2 linked regions of the Lepisosteus oculatus genome follow. The protein of the gene in region 2 purifies or fractionates together with the protein of the main gene of each other region. This does not show direct contact. Links are inferred from orthologs where the notes say so. Each region holds a gene or a part of one and is shown on either strand. Other genes may lie near its edges.

Evidence for each region.
Region 1: the proteins of transcriptional-regulating factor 1 (region 2) and deoxynucleotidyltransferase terminal-interacting protein 1 purify together in Homo sapiens (affinity purification with mass spectrometry; 3 studies listed by BioGRID and IntAct, with this or other methods). This does not show direct contact. The link is inferred for Lepisosteus oculatus from reciprocal best matches to the Homo sapiens genes TRERF1 and DNTTIP1.

The regions. Positions count from the first base shown.
Region 1 is NC_090711.1:2,321,189-2,331,266, reverse strand, and holds the start of deoxynucleotidyltransferase terminal-interacting protein 1, read right to left. Parts: upstream 3,986-10,078; 5' UTR 3,832-3,985; exon of another isoform or gene 3,660-3,831; 5' UTR 3,595-3,659; coding exon 3,523-3,594; intron 3,125-3,522; coding exon 3,054-3,124; intron 2,679-3,053; coding exon 2,582-2,678; intron 2,123-2,581; coding exon 2,024-2,122; intron 835-2,023; coding exon 766-834; intron 122-765; coding exon 65-121; intron 1-64. UniProt on the Homo sapiens protein: Increases DNTT terminal deoxynucleotidyltransferase activity (in vitro). Also acts as a transcriptional regulator, binding to the consensus sequence 5'-GNTGCATG-3' following an AT-tract.
Region 2 is NC_090697.1:16,547,395-16,557,330, forward strand, and holds the start of transcriptional-regulating factor 1, read right to left. Parts: upstream 4,217-9,936; 5' UTR 4,021-4,216; intron 1-4,020.

The sequences.
Region 1 (10,078 bases), on a different chromosome or scaffold from region 2:
ACTGCGGCTCTCTCGCGGCATTCCGCGGGATTTCCCACAAGCTCATCGCCGGGTGCCTCCTTACCTTCTTGGGAACAGGACTGCCCCTCTGGCTGGATTCGTCGTCCACCTGTCTGCCTCGCTGGAGGGGAGAGAGGAGAGGAGCAGACATTATTGAGCCCGCTGGCCGTGCTGGGGGGGCCGTGCGCCCCCAATCGTCCCCACGCCAGTGGTTCCCAATCGAGGTCCTGGTGACCCCCACAGACCTGCTGGTTTGTGTTCCAGCCGAGTCCTCAGATACACAATCAAACTCTTCATTGACTTAATATAATAACATTAATGTGAACTGTTTGTTCCTGGCTGGAATGAAATCCAGCAGGTGTGAGGGTCACCAGGACCAGGAGAGAAACCACTAGCCTACACCAAAGGGGCACGAGATCAGGGAATGACTTCTGCAGAACTGGGGAAAACTTCCTTTGTCTAAGTAATCTATTACAGTTACAGGTTAGTTCTAGAAGGGCTTACATTCTTTTGCATATAAACTATGTAATCTGATTGCCAGACAAACTGGATTCATCGAGAGTGCTAATGACACTTCCCCATTCTCACCTAAATAAAAATACAGTTGTGAAATGAAGGCAGATGAAACTACAATGCAATTTAAGATGTTGTAAGCGATATCTGTCACTTAAAAGTGTTAAGTCACCCCTACGGCTATAGAAGGCCTCTGCTGGCCAGGACAGGGGAGAGAGGTCAGAGGTCAGAGGTCAGAGGTCGAGCTCGCACCTTGCTGGCTGGGAGGTCCACAGCTGGTCTTTGGGGTGGCTTCTCCCCATCAGAGAACAGCTGTTTAGCCTGCAGAGGAAGGGAGGATCACACAAGAGATCTAACAGTCCTGAACAGATCTCATCATTACCACCTTATTCATTATCCTCATCACTGGCAGCTACAAGTCACAGCGAGTCCTGCATTTTTTAGAAACATTACGCCATGCCCCACTAATCCACAATCACTTCTCCACCACAAAAGGCACGGCTCAGCAGCTAAATAAGTCTGAGGGATGGAGGTTCATGTTGCCACGATTAGCTCATTTTATATCATGTAGAATATTTCAAATGAACACACAGAAATCCATTTCTAAAATGTATGAAATGCATCTGTACCACAGAACCAAATACTCTTCACATTCTGAGTATTATCAGCTTCAGAGCAAAAATCATGTGAGGTTATGGGGTGTATTTATCCACTCTCAGCAAGAAAGATTCTCTATTGTTATTCTTGAATAATAATATAATAAACTCTTCATAGTAATTACAATATTCAAACACTAAAAAATAAAGCTTGTTTGCTGTTTCTATAGAAGTCTTTTAAAAAATAAAACTCTACAATAAGACGTTATCAGCGACCTGTACAACTAAACTCATTTGACGAAATAAACTAATTAACCTACAAATCCTACACTGAACCATTTTAAGACACCACAGCAGGTGGTTTTGTAAGCATAACAAAAACAAAAGTATTTGCATCATAATGTTTTTTGATGTATGAAAATCTGAAGAGATGTTATTATTGTGCAGTGTGTATTCATTTCATCCCAAACTTTATGATCCCCGGGGGAAATCTGGTTTTTGACACAGTGCAATAAAACAGGAAGAGAAACATTACCAACGGAGCAGACAGTACAATAGAGTTACGGGAGATAAGGTGATACTTTACACTGTGAATCGTATTTTTGTATAATTCCAGAATTAGGATCTAATTGTGCAAGCTTCCCTGATAGAACCGACACTGTATGTTCCCATATCACAACTTGTGCAAACAGCTTGTTTTCCAGTCTCCCAGGAAAACATACTTTTATAATGCTGCTGAAAATCTTAACTAAAGTCTTTCAAGACGACGTGGAAGACATTACCCCCTGGTGTCCCCTGTACGACAGCACCCGCCTTTGACTTCTGTATCTGCTGCTGCACCCCCAGACTGACTGAAAAGCCCCCTCCCTCAGGCTGCGCAGGTGCAGGTCCACGGCCCGGCCCGGCGCTCTCACCTGCTCCAGGCAGTTCCGGCACGCCTCCCTGATCAGCACCTCGGGCTGCACCTCGTCGCCCATGTTCTCCTTCACGTTACTGGCTGCCTTCTGGAAGAACTGCAGCGCACAGGGGCAGAGGGGCTGGTCAAGGTGATGTCACATCCTGTTCACTGCACTACCCAAGCCCTGTGTTACTGCAATGCACCTGTACTGCAAGTATCACACTACGCAGGACATGGCTGTCAAAGAGGCCTGCAGTCTCCCAGCTCAGTACATAGCATTTCAGCCACTGTCTGCTATCATAGGAAGCTGCAGTATTTTTATCATGCCAACAAGCCTTTCCCACGATGGAGAAAAATGTTCATGGTGAGAAGCACCCCTCCCAGCCCATGGCCCCCTGCTCTGGGCCTCTGGTCTTAGCTCTCCGCCGCTGTGGAGCTCTGGGTCCAGTCTTTCCGTGGCAGCAGCGCGCTGGGAGTGAAGGCGGTGTCAGGGGGTCAAGAAATAAACCTCTTCCTGCGGGGCGGGGTGTGCAGGGGCGCCCCCCCACACCGCGCCTGCCCCCCGCGGGCTCACCTTCATGTACTTGTTGAAGACGGCCAGGATGTCCTCGTTGAAGCTGGGCTGCAGCACCGCGCGCAGCAGGTCCATGGAGATCACAGGGTCCGTGTAGCTGGGAAGGGTGGGGACACGGTCAGCACGCTCCTGTCTTTACAGTACCGCCCCGCCACACAACACACCGAGCCTCGACTGCGCCCTGAAACACCATGACAACCCCCTGCACCCCAGCTGGTGGAAACCCTGGAGCTCTTACATGAAGCATTTTGACGCCTTCTGCTCCGTCTTCCCCGAAAGGCAGAATCAGCCTTCAACGCCGCGATACACAAACCAATTTTTGAATTTAAAGAAAACATTAACCACTTACAGAATCCAGTCGGGGGTGGGAGGGAATCTTCACAGCAAGAGCAGAAATCTATCATCACAAGACATGCTGCAAAGCACCAACTAAACAAGCTGTTTCTTACACACACACACAAAGTCGTATTACCTGACTGTCATCTGGGAGCGCCGACCCCTGCGGTGAACCTGGCGGTGCTTTATCATGATGTTCCACGGGTTCTGGAAGACGAGAGGGAGGGTCACCCAGGCGGAGGACGGACAAACTCCATGGCCGGCACCCTGTCACGAACCCCTCAAACTCTTGCACCAGCCCACAGCCAGCACAGTCAAGACCTGGCATCGCGGGCTTCAACGCACGACAATTAAAGAACGCATTACAATTCTACCCACCCCCGAGTCCGTATCTTCAGTTTTAGCGCTTTTAAGCTATTTGTTTTAAAAGGCTAAATAGGGTTAAGCTGCTCTGAAGCGAAATTATGAAAACCTCACGCCGAGGGGTTCGGATGTTCACCCAAGCCCGAGAACTGGCAGGGAAGGGGAACTTCTGCTCGCCTTGACGCAGGTGACAGGACCTGCGGGCTGCGGTGCTTCTAGGCGGCCGGGGGGTAAACTCTCACCACAGCGACCTGCTCCGGGGCGTCCTGCTGCGGCAGCCAGTCCCTGCGCCCCTCGCTGCGGTGAGCCCCCATCCTGCCCGGCGTCGGACCCTTTCACGCCTGGTGCTCCTGGGGACGTGGGATGTCCCTCCTGGCTTCAGTTACAAAAAAATCAAAAAATAAAACAGCGGCGCGATCAGCAGGCGAACTTGTTGCGCACAGACAACAAGGCGTTTCACGGCGCAGGACGGAGTCTCATTGTGAAAACGGATGAGCCAGCGCCGGGTCCACGCTACAAAAAAAAAAAGCTCAGGGGCGGTGCCGGCCCTTTCAGGATCCCCCTCTCCCCGGGGGTGCAACGCCCGAAGACGAGTTGTCGGCGGATTATGTTGTTAAATCGAGCGCTGCTCCCGTCTTCACCGACACAGACAGGATGCTCCTGCCATCTCGCGCAAAATCGCTACTTCCTCGAGCTCCGACGTCACCGCCCGCCGACGGGCTGCGTCATCGCGGAGCGCGAGTGAAAAAAAAAAAACCCAACCCCAGAGCCGTTAGGGCGGCCATGATTGAGAGGGGCGCTTGATGACAGCGTCAGCTTGACTAGAAACCGTGTCGTTCAGACACACTCGCGGAATAGGTAAAATCGTGGTAAATACTGTTCCAAACACTAAGAGTACGCCGTGACCTCACTATAGTTAATTACCCAATCTCTTTCCGCGACGTTGTTTGCACTCGACGTACGGCAGCCATGTTGTTGAGGGGCACAGCGCGCTTTTCGAGGATCAATCTTTTCCTCGGATGTTAAAAGATTGATTTCTGTACGGTGCTTCTTTTCAAACAGACCGGTCTGAAGAAACATCATTGCTGAACCTAGTTGGGATAAAATAGCTATCACCTTATTTTTTTTAGAAAGATTTGTGTCAAAACAGAACCTTTTCATTATTGGCCAATAGTAAGGAGTTGCAGAGTGTTGGTTTTGTGCGTTTCAAATGTTAAAAACGTACTAACGTTTGTAAATCACTTAAGAAGAAAATACTCATATGTTTGATGTAAATAACCAGAAATATAACCTGAGTGTACTACTATTTGAGGGATACAATACCTCCGCTTTACCGGCGGTGGCTCCATAGCTCAGGGGTTAGAGCACTGGTCTTGTAAACCAGGGGTCGCGAGTTCAAATCTCGCTGGGGCCTGCCACAAGCTTTTGTTTTTTTTTAACTGAAAAAAACACTGTTGTTCGGAATACATATGTAATTAATCACAGACATAGTCTGATTTTCAAATGTTATTTTAAATACACACATAGTGTTCTTGTAGAGAGCAGTTGATAGTCTATGTTAGTTGCATCTTACAATCCTCTGAGCAGGACAACTCCAGCTACAGCTCTTTTAGGATAGACTTTTTATTTTACTTTTATTTTTGTTTTGTTTCGTGTTAATTTGATTATTTTTTCTGGCTTTGGCAACACTGATTGTACCCAATCGGTCATGCTAATAAAGCACCTTGAATTGAATTGAATTGACTTTCCGACTTCGAATCACTTTATATTGATAACATTTTTTAAAATTAAAAAGTAAATTTTTTTAATTATCATTCTTTGATAGTTATATCACTAAGTTCGAGCTTCCAGTTTTATGTTTGTACTGTAATATGGTCTTAATTTCGACACTAGACCATGCCGTATCGAAAGCTCCTAGCTCAAAGAGCTCTGTCTGGTCTTGGCAGCGTTAGCCAATCGCAGCGCTGTCAAGAGTCAGACATGGGCTAGCCAATCAGAATGTCGGGACGATGCAACGTGGGTAGATTCTGACCAATCACGGCCCGCCACTGAGGGGGTCAGTCAGTCACATGTCGCAGAGCTGCCTGGAGTTTTTGGTCGTGTTGCGTTTCTCACCTGTATTTAACAATTTTTTAATATCTTCATTATATGCGAAATAGCCGTCTCTCAGCTTGTTTTTTTTTTAAATTTCCGGCATCGTTGCTTCAACATTTCCCTTGCTCTTCGAATAAATGCACTTTCTATTTGTAATGTAACCGGCTGAGGTTTTGATTTTTCCAATTTTATCATATGCATCAGATGACTCCGGTTTTTTTTTAACCGAGACTTTTATTTTCTTTAATTTCTGCAACAGCCCTTGGGTAGCTTCAGGAGGGAGCCGACGCGAGAATCGAACCCACAACCCTCTGGTCTCCGTTTTCTCAGCGAGAGAGCATGACGTCAGCAGTTCGTGATGGCGCTGCAGAAACAGGCGAGATCGTTTCACTTTATCAGGAAAAAAAATCTTAGACATAATCGAAACACTATATGTACGTTTAATGTATGCATTATATAGTTGTAATTCCTGAATGACATTCAGAGGGCTTAAACCACAGACGTTTTTTTTTTATTTTGTTGTTGTCTGCACCTTTTAAATACGTTTATATACTGTACATAAGGTTTATTACACGTCTATAATAAAATAGTTTAAAATTGATATTATTGTTAGCATTGTAGGTGTAATCAGGTGAAAAAAAATGTAGTTTAATTTATTGCACATCAAATACGAAATAGTATACAGCAACATCTAATTTATTTTAACTCGTGACTTCTGAATTGCAACAGAGGATTTTCCAATATGAATTCACTGTAATAAAATTTACAAAAAAAACTGCACGCACATAAAAGGTTTTACACTACTTTAAACCACGTTATATCATCTGTACAACGGTAGCTTTCTACAGATTGTTATTGTAAAAAAAACATCCAAAACAATCCATTGAATAAAAGGATATTTACCCTTCTCCACGTTTAATACTCGACAAGGGGAAAGAACACAACAGGGTACAAAAATAATCGAATAGAACTATAAAGCAAAAGCTGACAACAAACTTTGTTGAAATTGTGCACAAAAAATGTCAAAGAAAGTCTTGAACTAACTGCATTGTAAATCAGTACAAATCAATCTGTACGCCAAGCGAGTGCAATACAGCTCTAAGGGTTCTGCACAGCCTGCAGTCAGGCCGGTTAGTGCATCTGGCCTAGACGTATGTGTGACCAGGACCTCCTACAGGTGACGCGGAGAAGCTGAAGTCTGAAGGAAACACATGCAGGGGAAAAAACCCACATAGGACAAGGGCCATCATATGCGAGAAAGGATCAGGGTAAAGGTGCACTCAAGTAGGGGTTTGAGGCTCGTTTTCAGAACTCATTTTTATTTCTCCATATATATTATATATACATGTCTGTCGCTGACTGAGTGCGTACTGCTGTAGAGCTCCGAGCTGTGCAATTGCAAACTCCCTGCAGTTCCCTGGCCCCTTGGCCCCCCTGCCAGCACCGCTGGCAAAGCAACACCTGGGCAGGTGAGCTTCCTGGTGGCTGTGGAAGCCCTCTGCGCAAACCCCCCCCCCCATCCCCCCTGCGCCGCCCTCTGGGAGAAACAGGGCAGCAGCACCAAGAGCGATGCTGCTGGTCCCCGCATTAGTCTTGGGGGCGAGGCACTGCTTCTTTCATCCCATCATCTGTCCACCCTCTCCCTCGCTCGCTCGCTATCCCGTCTCATCCTCTGGCGCCACTTGCAGGGAGGAAACTGCAGGAGTTTTTCCATCTGTGTGCTGAATCCCCAGGAATTTCCAGCCACAACATTTTTAAAACGCAGGCTTACAGACAAGAGGAGGTCATTCTACTCGCCAGGCTTGTTTGGGTTCAAGTGCATCGAGGAAACACGAACCATAAAAATAAACACGGGTGTTCTTGCACAAGTTCTCACTTTAGTCCCCAACTCCCTTACAAATGGGCTTGTCTAAAATCCTTAAAAGAAAGTCCAACATTCCTTGCTCCAGTCTTGTCCAAAGTTGTTTGGGCAACTATAACAGCTGTGTACATTGCAAGACATTGGTGGATCAGATCCAGTATCAGAGTAATAGATAATAGACAAATATAAATGATAAGTGCTATTACTGTGTCAATGTTAATTATAACAGCAGGGCTGCTGGGTTGTGTCCACAAGACACACGAAGTTCAGTGCACAACAGGTGGAGTGCAGTGATCATTCTGGGACACTACTGATTACAATGCCTTCACGAAATCTCTGGTCTTCAGAACTTGGGGGGAATTGGGAACCTTTCTATCATGTTGTGGTGGCAGCAGTGGTTCCCAGCACCAGGAATCCAGCAGCTTTTCCAGGTCCTAGTTACAGCTCTCTACCTGGGAGACAATCTGATTGGACTGGACTATTTTCTCCCTTGGCCATGGCCTTGTTGGGGACAGTGAAGGGTAGTGGCTTTGCCTCTTTTGACAGGTTACATGTACAGGTCCCTGGTGCAGACACTGGCTTGAGTGAGGTGCTTCTCAGTTGCCCCAGTCCACCCAGCTTCCCCAGTTTAAGGAGACAAGGAAAAGCTGGTGGGTTCCCGCTGCCAGAGGATGGAGTTGGGGACTCCTGTTACAGGTACTGAGTACGGGGTGTCTGACACACAGTCCTGCTGTCTCCCGGTGGAGTGCTAGTTTAATTCATCACCCCATTTAGGAATATCAGACACAGGTCAGGAAAATATTTTTAAAACAGACTGCATACATTACAACACAACATTATTGGGTTACAGACAGAGAGCTTAAAGATGTTTTTTTTTTTCCTTTTTACTACTTGGATAAATTTCCAAGTATGTATATATAATGTATACATATATAAAATAAACAAAGACAAATACACAAAATGTTTAAGTCAAGACACCGATAATCTATAAACTAATCTCTATGAAGGTCAATTTCTATATATTCATTTATGGTTTCTCTGTAGTTTAAAAATATCTGACCATGCAATTTAATTTCCAAACAGGAAACACAACATTCATTTCCAGAAAACAAAGTAAGACATAGGAATCAAAGGCTTATAAAAATAAACATCAGGGAAATTCTGCTGATTGTGTCCTAGAGCAGTAGCATTCATTGTTTTTACTTTTCCATAGAAGATAAAGATTCTTTTTTTTTTAATAACACTTTGGTTTAGTTTAAAACATTTCCTATTTCAAATTGTATAATTCACAATAGCAAAATTAAAAACATTTAAAAAGTTTAGTCGTGTTAAATTAAAACGTATAAAGATTTTGCATCTCAAAATAAAAAAATAAAAAACTGCCACTATGGAAAAAAAAATCAACATAAAACCTTCATAGACGAAGAGACGACATTCAATTCACTTCCTAAAACGGCTTCAATACAGATCAATACAAGAGAGGAGAGAAAACACATTATTCACACGGATCTCTGTACACTATGTACATGTCTTTGCTGGTGACAGAAACACACTGGGGTTCGAGTATCGGCTTGATGCTGCTTTTCTCCTGATCCACCAGATCGCTCAAGTTCCAGGGCTATCAGGCGCCTCTTTGATAAAACTACGTTACAACTGAAAGACCTAGCCTGCCCCCTGCCCCATTTTCTTTTTCTCTTGCAGTCCTTGCAACAGCAAAATATAAAAATAACCCGCCAATAGCCAATTTATATACAGATACATACACGGATGGGACAGAAGCGTGAGAGAGGCACAGGCAAGAAGCACGAGCCCTGGAAATCCCAGAGTACAAGTCTTCCACTTCAATCAGGCAGAGCTCGTGCTCTCTGAAAATGAAAACAAAAATTGCGCCAGAGAAAGAAAGGAAAGCAGTTGCAAATCTTTTGTCTTTTTTGAGAAGGTAGACAATTTCAGTTCAGCTCAAGGGCAGCCAACCTGTTCACGAACAACAGACCACTCCAGCACTTCCTGCCTCATGAGACTGTGCAACAGATCGAGTCTCTGAAGGCTACCAGAACTTTTAATGCTTTTTTGTTTACATTCATAATGCTGCGCTCTGTCGTGTAATCTCAGACCGCATCGTACCAATTTCAGTTTTCAGTTCTTGGCTGAATAAATACAAACAGCTCTTCTAATTATTGAAGACGATGATTAAATAAATGAGGGGTAAACTGCAAGCCAACAGGAAGCGGGCAGCGGATCTGTAGCTCTCTGAGAAGAGGACATGCTGCTGGCTTGCACAGATGAACAAGATCATGGATCAGATGGGGGCACATCTTGAAAGTTGTGCAGACGAGAGCGCAGTAGCGATGAAATCGCAGGTCAGGCAGGAGCTGGCTGATGACCAGGACTGCTCTCCGTGCTTCCACTACAGCTGCCCGCCCGAGAGAGCCATCACTTCGGGAGTCCGAACTGCAGCCTCTGCTTCGGTCAGAGGTCTCTCCCCAGCTCCTCTGGCAAGACCTCCACCAGGCAAAACACAATCATGCTGTCATCTTCCTGGACACTGACCTTCCACTAACCCCTGGGGCCACTTTGTGGGTCTCAGACAAAAACGAAGTAGAAGCCTGGTGATGGAAAACAAGAGCGCCGAGCTTCACATAGGGCCATAAACCTGTTGGTGAAGATACTTTCCTCCCCGTCATCACTGAGCACGGGCTTCGAGAAGATCTGGGGGAAAACGAGCTCTCGTTTACCGCGCTGCTGAGGGCGTCCAGCCTTTGCGATGCTGTGGCTTCGGTCGTGTGGCTGCAATACGAGCAAAAGCCAATAAGAGCAAAACCATAAGACACCCGTGCACAGGG
Region 2 (9,936 bases):
GCATTAAATTCCAAGTGTGGTAATGTGTAGAGTACATGGTCTGTAAGGTCGCTGTGGTAATGGCTCAAAACGAAGATACAGTACAACGTACGGTAGCACTAGACCGTTCTAGTTGAAGAAGTACAGAGTAAGTGGTTCTCACTACCACCTCGTGATCAAAATGCTGTCGGCATCACTTTTCTAACACCTGGACTATAACTGCCTTTGGCGCTGGTGAAGACTTTCAGCTTTTCCATCTGTTTGGCCCAATGAAGAGGCTCCCCGACGTCACAACACACAGGAAGTGTTGACAAGGAAGCCAAAGCAGCAGGGACTAACCAACGCCGGGCTATTACATGGTCATTCCTAACTTTGTGAAGACGTGGGAGAGATATGAGGGTGCGTGAGGGGCACTGAGGGTGTGTGAGAGAAAAAAAAACAACCTTTTCCCACCTGTCTCTCTCTCTTCTTCACCGTGGCTTCACTCTAGAGGCAGCGCTGATCCTTTAGCAAATAATTCTGTCTCTTGCAAGGCACACGTGGTCAATTACTGTTTGGCTGGTGAGTGACACGTTTGTGCAATGTAACCTGTGGTCTACCCCTGCTTCCCGTCTACATGGGCGTTTGTGATATGAACTGATATCAACTCTTATAAGACATTTTCAGCATGGCAGCTTCCTAGCCTTCACAACATTCCACAATTTACCCTCATCGTCTGCTCTTGACGGCACCTCCAATCGCTACATCATGTGCAGTTACAGGGGTCCTCTGGAGCTTCCCATAGCATCTCATGTATGTATATATGTGCACGGACTATACTGTGCGTAATGTGTGAGTACGTTACATTTACATCTTTAATTTGGAATATTGTGTACAATTTTGGCCTGCACACTATAGTAAAGATATAGCTGCTCTGGAATCAGTCCAGAGACCAGCAATCAGATGCATTCCACGGCTCAAGGGAGTGTCATACCCTGACACACTGAAAGAATCTGTCTCTGAACAAAGAAGACCCTGAGGAGACCTGTTACAACTATTCAAGATCCCAAAAAACACCGACAATGTCAACCCAACGGATTTCTTCATAGAGAACAGTGAATCAAGATCCAGCAGACACAAGTGGGACCTATGTGGACGTGGATTAAAGCTTTATCTGAAGGGTTCTGGGAAGGTGGGACAAGCAACCCAGTCATGTTTTTGAACCCAGTACTTTTGCCTCCATCGGGAAACAACTGGATGAGATTTTTTTTGGATCAGTTAACTAGTATCTACCAGGGTAGCTGGGAAGCCGGAATCCATCTCGGCAAACAATGAGTGCAAGGCAGGATACACCCTGGAGAGGACGCCAGTCCATCTCAGAGCACACACAGACAGAATTACACCAGGGCCAATTTGTTCCAGAAGCCAATTAACCTACTATTATGTCTTTGGATTGTAGGAAGAATCCCGTACGAACACAGACAGACCATACAAATGACATGCAGACAGCACACCAGGAACTGAACCCAGGACCGCTGGGCTGCCAGGCTGTAATGCTAGCTACTGTGCCACCCCCAGTGAAGGGTTCTTAGTGGATAATTTCCAAAGTCCCTTTATTTTCTGATTTATATAAGAGTAAAATGATGTAGTTTACTGTTAATTTGTTTGTTGACTAGAACCCTGCGGTCATGCACCATATTTCTTAAATAAGGAAGAAGTAAAGGGTCCAAGCAGAACGCTTTGACTATGGAGCCTTCTTCATCTGAAGCTGCCGTTGCAGCTGACGCGTTTGTAAATACAACTGTATTATTTCTACTACTGAGTTTTTTTTCCCTCACATGCTGAGATCTTTATTAAATGGAAAACTTGTTTCACGATGTACAAACCGAAGGAATTTTCTCCTATTTAACGCAATAACTGGTTGAGTTAAAAGATGTTTCAAAACGGAGTACTTCATTTATTTTGTTATAGCCAAATGTCCCATAAACAAATTAGCATGTTTTGTTATATATTAAAACTGAAAGAGAAAAAGAATCAGAAATTCATAAACATATCGACGCGCTTCCATCTTCTCGTTGTCTCCTGTCTAACTGATCCTTGGATCAATCGTACATTAATGACTGCTAAACGGGCTAGATGTCCCGAAAGCCCGCCTCTTCTTTGGAGCTGTTCTCTGTTACAAATGCGAGTAAGATCGCAAGAATCGATTATGCGATCCTTGCTGTGCCACGTAAATGTAAAGCCGGGCCGATTGTGCAAAACTCCATGAAATTTAGCCTCGCTGACATTTTTTGGCCTTAAAACATTCTCATAATCCTCTGTCTATAGCGCGTCACTTTGCCAACTGCGTTCGTTTTAGCAGTTAAACTTCACTATTTATAACTTGAATATTTAAGTCTATGTACTTAATATGCCTTATAGTGCAGATCAGACGAAAATACACAGTACACGCATCAATATTTTTATACAGTCAAATGTATTTTTTGTTTCGCTAGTGTTCTGTAACCGTCACTGTACAGTAACACGTTTAAGGCGTTTTTTTTTAAGATTGCCCAGTGTCCGGCTAACGTTTTAATGTTACTACAGAACAGTTCAAAAGACTATACTTTCGAGTGGTTTTAACTGGTTCTTAAAATGAGAGATTTTAGTCGTCCGCCTTAAATCCAGTTTAGAAATCCAACAAAACGTTAGTCCGCACGCCCAAAAGAATATTACAGATCACCTTGATGGAGAGTCGATAAGGTCTCATCATTTGCTACCGCCTTAGCTGTTGGCACTGGATAAAAAAAATACGACCGGTGCTTAAAAGAAACGTAATGCTCCTCAAACGGTGACAAGTCAGAACTACAACACACTTGCGCGAGGTGTATCTGTTCAATATTTTTTAAAACCTCCCAAAAATATCTTCAGACTTGCGAAAAAAAGAAAATTCAAACAGCTCCTGCGAAGTACAGGGTCCCGTTTCGCACCGCCGGCACGGCGGGGGGGGCTGCCTGGCGAGTCTGTCTCACAGCCGCACGGAGCATCTTACGGCCCCGGCAGACAGTGGCAGTGCACACGACGGGTTAAAGACTGTACATCGCAGAAAGAGCACGACAAAATACATACATATATATATATATCCTCCAGCCTACTCAAGCAGCGCATCGCTAAAGGCGGATTTCCTGGTTTGAGAAATTGGATGCTATCCCTTTAAAACCAACACATACCGAAAAAAAAGGAAATAAGTCGAGATGTTCTCCACTGGCTACAGCAAACACGGACAGTAGACTAACCCGTCAGGTGTGTATGCGCACACATCGGATGTGTAATTTTCTCACACGGGAGTGGGGCTGGGGACGGGAGGGAGAAAAAAAAAAAAGACAGCTCCCGGAGACACTTCACGGCCAGGTTTCCAAATGCGTTTCAGCGAACGATAATCTTAGTTATAATCCTGCTCATCCAAAGTATTGCAAATCATGCCATGCCCCCAAACTAACTAACTGGGTAGCGGGTGGGCCGAAATAAAGATAAAAAGCGTTAAACTGACCCAGACTTTTCCACTGTCATGCGACTGTGCGCTGCAACACTCGGCACCCCAGTGTCACAAGCACGACATGTCTGTCAATTTCGATGTCAGCTCCATACAACAACTACTGTACTACTATACTGCAAGTATATATATATAGCTTGAAGTGCACGGTACTGTTTGACACCCGACATGAAACTTGCACGTCCGTGAAATTAACCACCTTTTGTGATTTAATTTTTCAGACCACGATTTTTTTTTTAATTTACGGTTTCAATCAAATGGCTTTTCTTGAAGCACCGCGTCACCAATAACTCGAGTCCAACACCTAGCCGCATTTATTCAAACTTAGCAGTGCAACAAATGGTGATTCTTGTCCTGTTCGGAAAATGACACTTCGCCGCATTCAAATTAAAAAAGGGCTCCCTTTCAAATGCATGTCAGGAGTTCCCTTCTGAGAAGGCCCTGCCTGCTGTACATACCGAAACTCTTGCAAAATAAAACTTTTTTTTGATTAATCGTTACTTCCCAGGCGCATCTATTTTTACACCTACCTTTAGAAGGCACGCGTGCAGAACCTTTGTCATGTAGAAAACAACGAGCAAAGGCTGTGAGGTCGCCTCAGGATTGCTGAAGAAATCAGTCCGCTTGAACAGTTGTTTCAATTTAATTTTACATGCAATTTACAATCAACTTGTTCCCTTACCTCCCCTCTACAGGATAGTTTGAGTTATGCCGTACAGCTACAATCCTGTAAACAAGTATCGGTCCGCCGTAAAACATAGCGCCTGCAAATTAGACAGTTTCCAAACAGGTTATAGCCTCTCGGTTCGTTTTTTTAGAAAGTATATTCCATACATTATATACACACGCATAACAATACGTTTAACTACTTTATACATAGATATTTAATCTGAACACGAACCACAATTCATTTTTTGAACTCGTACTGTAATCTGCATGGTAAAATTCTTCCGCGGAGAGATTCTGGTCAAGACTGCAGTTTTTAAAGCAGGAAGTAAAAACGTTAGAAGAAATGCGTATTTTTTTTTACTTTTATAATTTTTGTTATTAATTTGATATATGAAAATATCTATTGAATGTGCAACCGGCTTTAACGTTGTATTTATATGAATTAAAACAAAAGAGTTAATATTTTACAATGCACGCAGGTGTGTGGACAGTTTGATGCTTCTGCCTTGCAAATTAAGTCTTCGTTTTCTTTACAATTAAGTATTCAGTGCGCTCTATTTTAAAAAATAACTGTGCCCAATGGGAATCTTGGGAAACTTTAAAGAAGTCACAACAATCTGATTTCAAATGCTTGTCTTTTAAGTTGAAATATAATGTGAACATGCAGTTAATATGGTGGCGCGCAGTGTAAAGTAAGGAACCTTTCCTAATATAATTATGCAAATTACACCCCGCATTTTTAATACTGCATTGATCCAGCTTCATTTGCATGCTTCTGTTAAAATGCAAGATATCGTTCTTTAGATTTTTGCATACCCTGAACTGTCCGTAGTGCTAGTTTAGAAAGGCAAACCTGGGAGGGTTTTACTGCAGCGTGTCCAGTATTTATTACCACTGGAGACACTCCACCCTGATTCCCTCTAAAATCGCTGAACCCCTCATTGTGGTTTTACTGTAGTCTGTAATATAATAAAACATTGTTAGAAAAAAGAAACAAGCAGTTTAAAACATTGACTTAAATGATTTTTTTTCAAGGACGTCTCATAAAATAATGAGATTCATTGTTGGCATTTTAACACCATTTTATTGTAGAAAGGTCTTTTCAAAAAGCTCAGGGCTGGGATCAAGGACCGGGTAACTTGGGAAAACTCAGCCCCATGCATTTGGCAATGCCTAACACCATGTCTACATGAGAGTAATGTTCAGTGGTTGTTCTATCTGTCCAGTTAATATGTGCAGAGGCAGAAAAATCCACTGGAATTTAAATATCACTGTTTTCCATGAATACGTAGCAGAATATCTTCCGCAGCAGAACACCTACAGTGCCGAGAAAAAGTTTGAATCACAAATTTAATATTTTTACCAAGACAGCTGCTTGAATCAAAACCAGTTTTAATCCAACCACCCATCCATCAGTTTTCTAACTGCTTCTTCCAATTCACGGTCGTGGGGAGCCGGAGCCTAGCCTCGCAAACAATAGAGGTAAGGCAGGGTACACCCTGGACAGGACATAGTAGACACAAACACCGACTCCCCCCACCCAACTCCCAATAAACACCCAAACAAAATGATGTATGAGTTAAAAAATGATTAATTAAGGTACAGGGGACATGGAAAAGTAAGCCAAACCCTAGAGAATAATTTGAATCAGGTGTTTAAATAATTGGGTAGATCTTGGTGGCTGAGTTTGGAAGTCCCCACCCTACTGTATATAAAGATAAAAAAATAGTAGTAATCCCCATTAGTCCTGAAAGGGTTAAAATACCATTTCTAATTATATGGGGTTCTGTCCATCCACTGTCAGATGGATCGTCTACAAATGTAGAAATTTCAAGACTACAATCACTCCATCCAGGAACAGCCATCCTCCCAAAATAACTCAAGAGAACAAACCACACAAAACTTCACGGAAGTGATAAAGAACCCCAGAGTAAGTCCAAGGAACTGCAGGCCGCTCTCACCTTGGCTACTGTGAGTCATTGTTCAAAAAACAACTGAACAACAATGGTGCTCTTGTTAGGCCAAAGAGCACATAGATAATCCACAAGTTTTCTGGAACAATATTCTCCCAATGAGTCAAAGGTAGAACTCTGGGGCCTCTGAGAAACCTTAGCTGTCAAAAACCAAACCCGGCTTTTGAACAGAAGAACTTCACTCCAGTGGTCAATTATGGTGCTGGAAGTGTGATGGTTTAGAACAGCGTTGCTGCCCCAGAACCTGAAAGTCCTGCCATCATCGAAGACTCTGGAGGTGAATGTCAGGCCATGCAGCAGAACCTAAAGTGGATCTTGCAGCAAGACAACAATCATAAACATACAAGCAGATATACAAAAGAATGGCTGCAGGAGAAGAAATTCCACATTTTACAATGACCTTGTCAAAGCTCAGAACTAAACCCCATCAAAATGTCCTGAAAAAAGCTGTTCATGCAAGGCACTTCCCGAAATTAAATCTTAGTGTTTAATTTTTTTTAGGTCTTTCTTGGCAAATACTACAAAACGATAATATATGTACTATATAATATTACATACAAAATGCAGAAATGTTATATTTATGTTTTACTGGATATACATTTTACTCCTGTTACCTCAATGAAATGAGAATGTTTTGCTACACTTCCTGTCTGAGGACTGCAGACAGCTCTCAGAACCTGAACTAAAAGAATAAAACGAACAGTTGTCAACCTGTGTATTTTAAATGGAGAACCAAAGAATGTGTATATGTGGGTCAAAGCAATAAAATAAAATTTAAGAAAGGTTATGAATGAAAGGACTACCATATACAATTTCATACTTAATAGCTAATTGATCTAAGGATCGTATCCAGATGGGTATCAGCTTCAACAACATGGTTGGGTAACTTGGTCCAGACTTACACAATCCTTTATACAAAAAAATGCCTTGTGTTCTCAGTTTTAAATGTACTTCCATGTAGTTTTCACTTGTGTCCTCTGTTTCATGTTTCACTGTTCATTCTGAAGATGTCCACCAAACTGACTTTATCAATGACTCTGAGGAAACATAAGATTTAAATAATTATGCTTTGCAAGAAAGGTTTTATGGAATTACAAGAAATGTCTTTCTTGAATTGTGGATAGAAAAACTGTAAGTATGTCAAAACCAAGAGAGGAACAGCAAAAAGAGATACAGGTAGACTTGTTTTGATGCCAATGTCAAGTCTATATCACATCTTACCATACCAAAGGAAAAGTCAAGACAAGATGAAGAAACTAACACAAACACCCTTATTGGGTATCAGTTTAGAAAATATTAGCAGGTAGAGTAATATAGAAGAATAATACTGTTTACTTTCTGTTTTCACAGGGCAGAATAGGAAAACTACAATGAAAACACAAAGCACAGTTGTAAAAGGAACAAATATTTTATGTTTTAGTGTCATGCAACTACTTCAAACAGTTGATATTTGGATAAAAGGTTTTTTTCTTCCTTTCCTTTTTTAAATGTAAAATTTGCCTTATTGCAAACTCTCTGTTTTAAAACAGCAGCAGCAAAAAAACAGCTCATTTGAGGTTTATCTTATCATTTATACATACTGTAGATAAGCTCTGTATATATTATGATGAAATCATAATCAAGATTGAAGCTTGGTTTAGTCATGGTTAATAATAGAATTCATAACAATTAAGTTAATTATAAATGGTTAATAACACAATGAGTCTGAGTTCATCCCAAAATTGATGTTTGATGCTCATATTTATCATTTTTATCCTATTATTAATATTTATCATATTTAAAATGTATGACTGTGACAGACACAGATCTTATGATAAAGTGGCTTCATAGAGTTGAGCTCTTACAAACTCAAGAACCGTTGTCCTAAGGTCCAGGAAACATTATTTAGCAGGATCTACAAGACTCTAAAAGAAGCCTCCATTATTAATAATGGTAATAGTGACACCTAACTACATACAGCACAGTCATCCTGAAAACCCCCGTTTTCTACACCTACTGTGTGGCATTAATTACATCAATCAATCAACAATCCAATCAATTACCAATACAAAACAATGAAAATAAAAACCCGTATTTCTCCAGCTCCACCACAACCCTGAAATGGATAGAGTGGTTAGAAAATGGATGGATGGATTTGAAAGAAACACGAGAATATTCTTCTGCCCTCAAGGGGCAGTGTTTCCTTCACTGAAACATTACTTGCTTAAAATATCAATGACTTAAACAATTGTTCCTGATCTTTAAATATTAGACATAGGACAACCTATAAGACTAACTGGACTGGGGCTGTCCAGCAACGAGGTTAGAGACCCCTGCAGTTTGCCTGTATGAGTATGAAGGATGTTCCATAAAATGCTCATTTAAATACAATTTCTATGTCTTTGAATACACAGTGTTAGAAGGCATGGAATATGTGCAGAAGTAATTTAAAGATACAATAAAATATTTAAAAATACAGTTTCTTAAAAATAAGACAGAACACAATGGACTCGCAATACTCAAATGGACACTGAAAGCTTAAGGATTTATCAGAATCCAGGAATGAAAATACAGTAACAATGAGCTACAAATAATGAGTGAAGGACCCATACGATACTTTATGTAATGCAAGAACCACAAGGTGTTCACTGCAAGATACTGTGTTCAGTTCAGGTTCAGCCTTGGCAGCATGTGAGACCCAGTTAGGGCAACTGACAAGAGAGGTTGAGGTGAAAAGGAATTAGACGGAGTCAAATTGTTTGCAACTTGAAATATAGACTAAAAGGCTTTAAAAATGCAACAAATGAGTGGTGAACACAATAATATTTGCGGTGTTTTTAATATATCTTCTATGTCCGATATTGAAGAAAACGTGTATAAACCTAGTCCTGTCAAGAAAAACTGTGACACAGAAAACAAAAGCAAGTCTGCCTTACTACCTACAGTATGTCTTTAAATCACTTCTTGTGTAACTACCACTTACTTTCTGATTAATGAATGGAAGTGATTTTTAAAGATGCATCTAGAAAAACTATTGGGGTTTGAAATCTCCCCATCCTCCTCCCCAGCCTCCACCTGCTTTCTTGGCTGCCTGAGAAGGGGGAGTAACACCCACTGCATCCCTCTATCACTATGTCAGGGACTGACTCTAGTCAGACACGACAGGTGTCAATTACCTGGATCAAGGACTGGGTAACCTTGAAGGAAGGGACTATCGACAAATGAAATAACAAAATGCAAGGCCTTTGACATGTACCATTGGTATCCTGGCCAGAGTACTGGGAATGGTGGGTCAATGTGCTGGGATATGACAAAAAAAAGGCTGATGTAAGTGACCTCACAAGAGGATTGGTTTTTCCTGTACTTCTGGTACATGGTAGGATGCAATAGCAGTCATGGCTAATGTGTCAACTTGACCAGACAAACCCAAGCATTTACGTACAGTACAGTGGTTGGCAGATTAAAACAAATATTCACAGGAAATGCAATTCAGGCCTCAAGAATCTATCAAACCTCTACTCCCATCTCATCTCAATGTCTCTTGGGTGATTGATTCGTCATCTCCATCAACATTTGAGTATCTCTAGTGAAATCAGTTTAATGATCTGCTGCAATGTTAGGTAGACAAAATTGTTAAGATATTTTTGGTACTTTGGTAAAGTCTGCTTTCCTAAGGCACAGCACAATCAATAAAATATGGAGTAATGTCTGTCAGCAGGAAAGAATGTTGCCTCACAGTTATCTGTGAGACAAATAACTTGTTAGATAATCTGCATTAACAGTTGTTAGACTTGTTCAGAAAAATCGAGAAACAGGCTTTGTTCA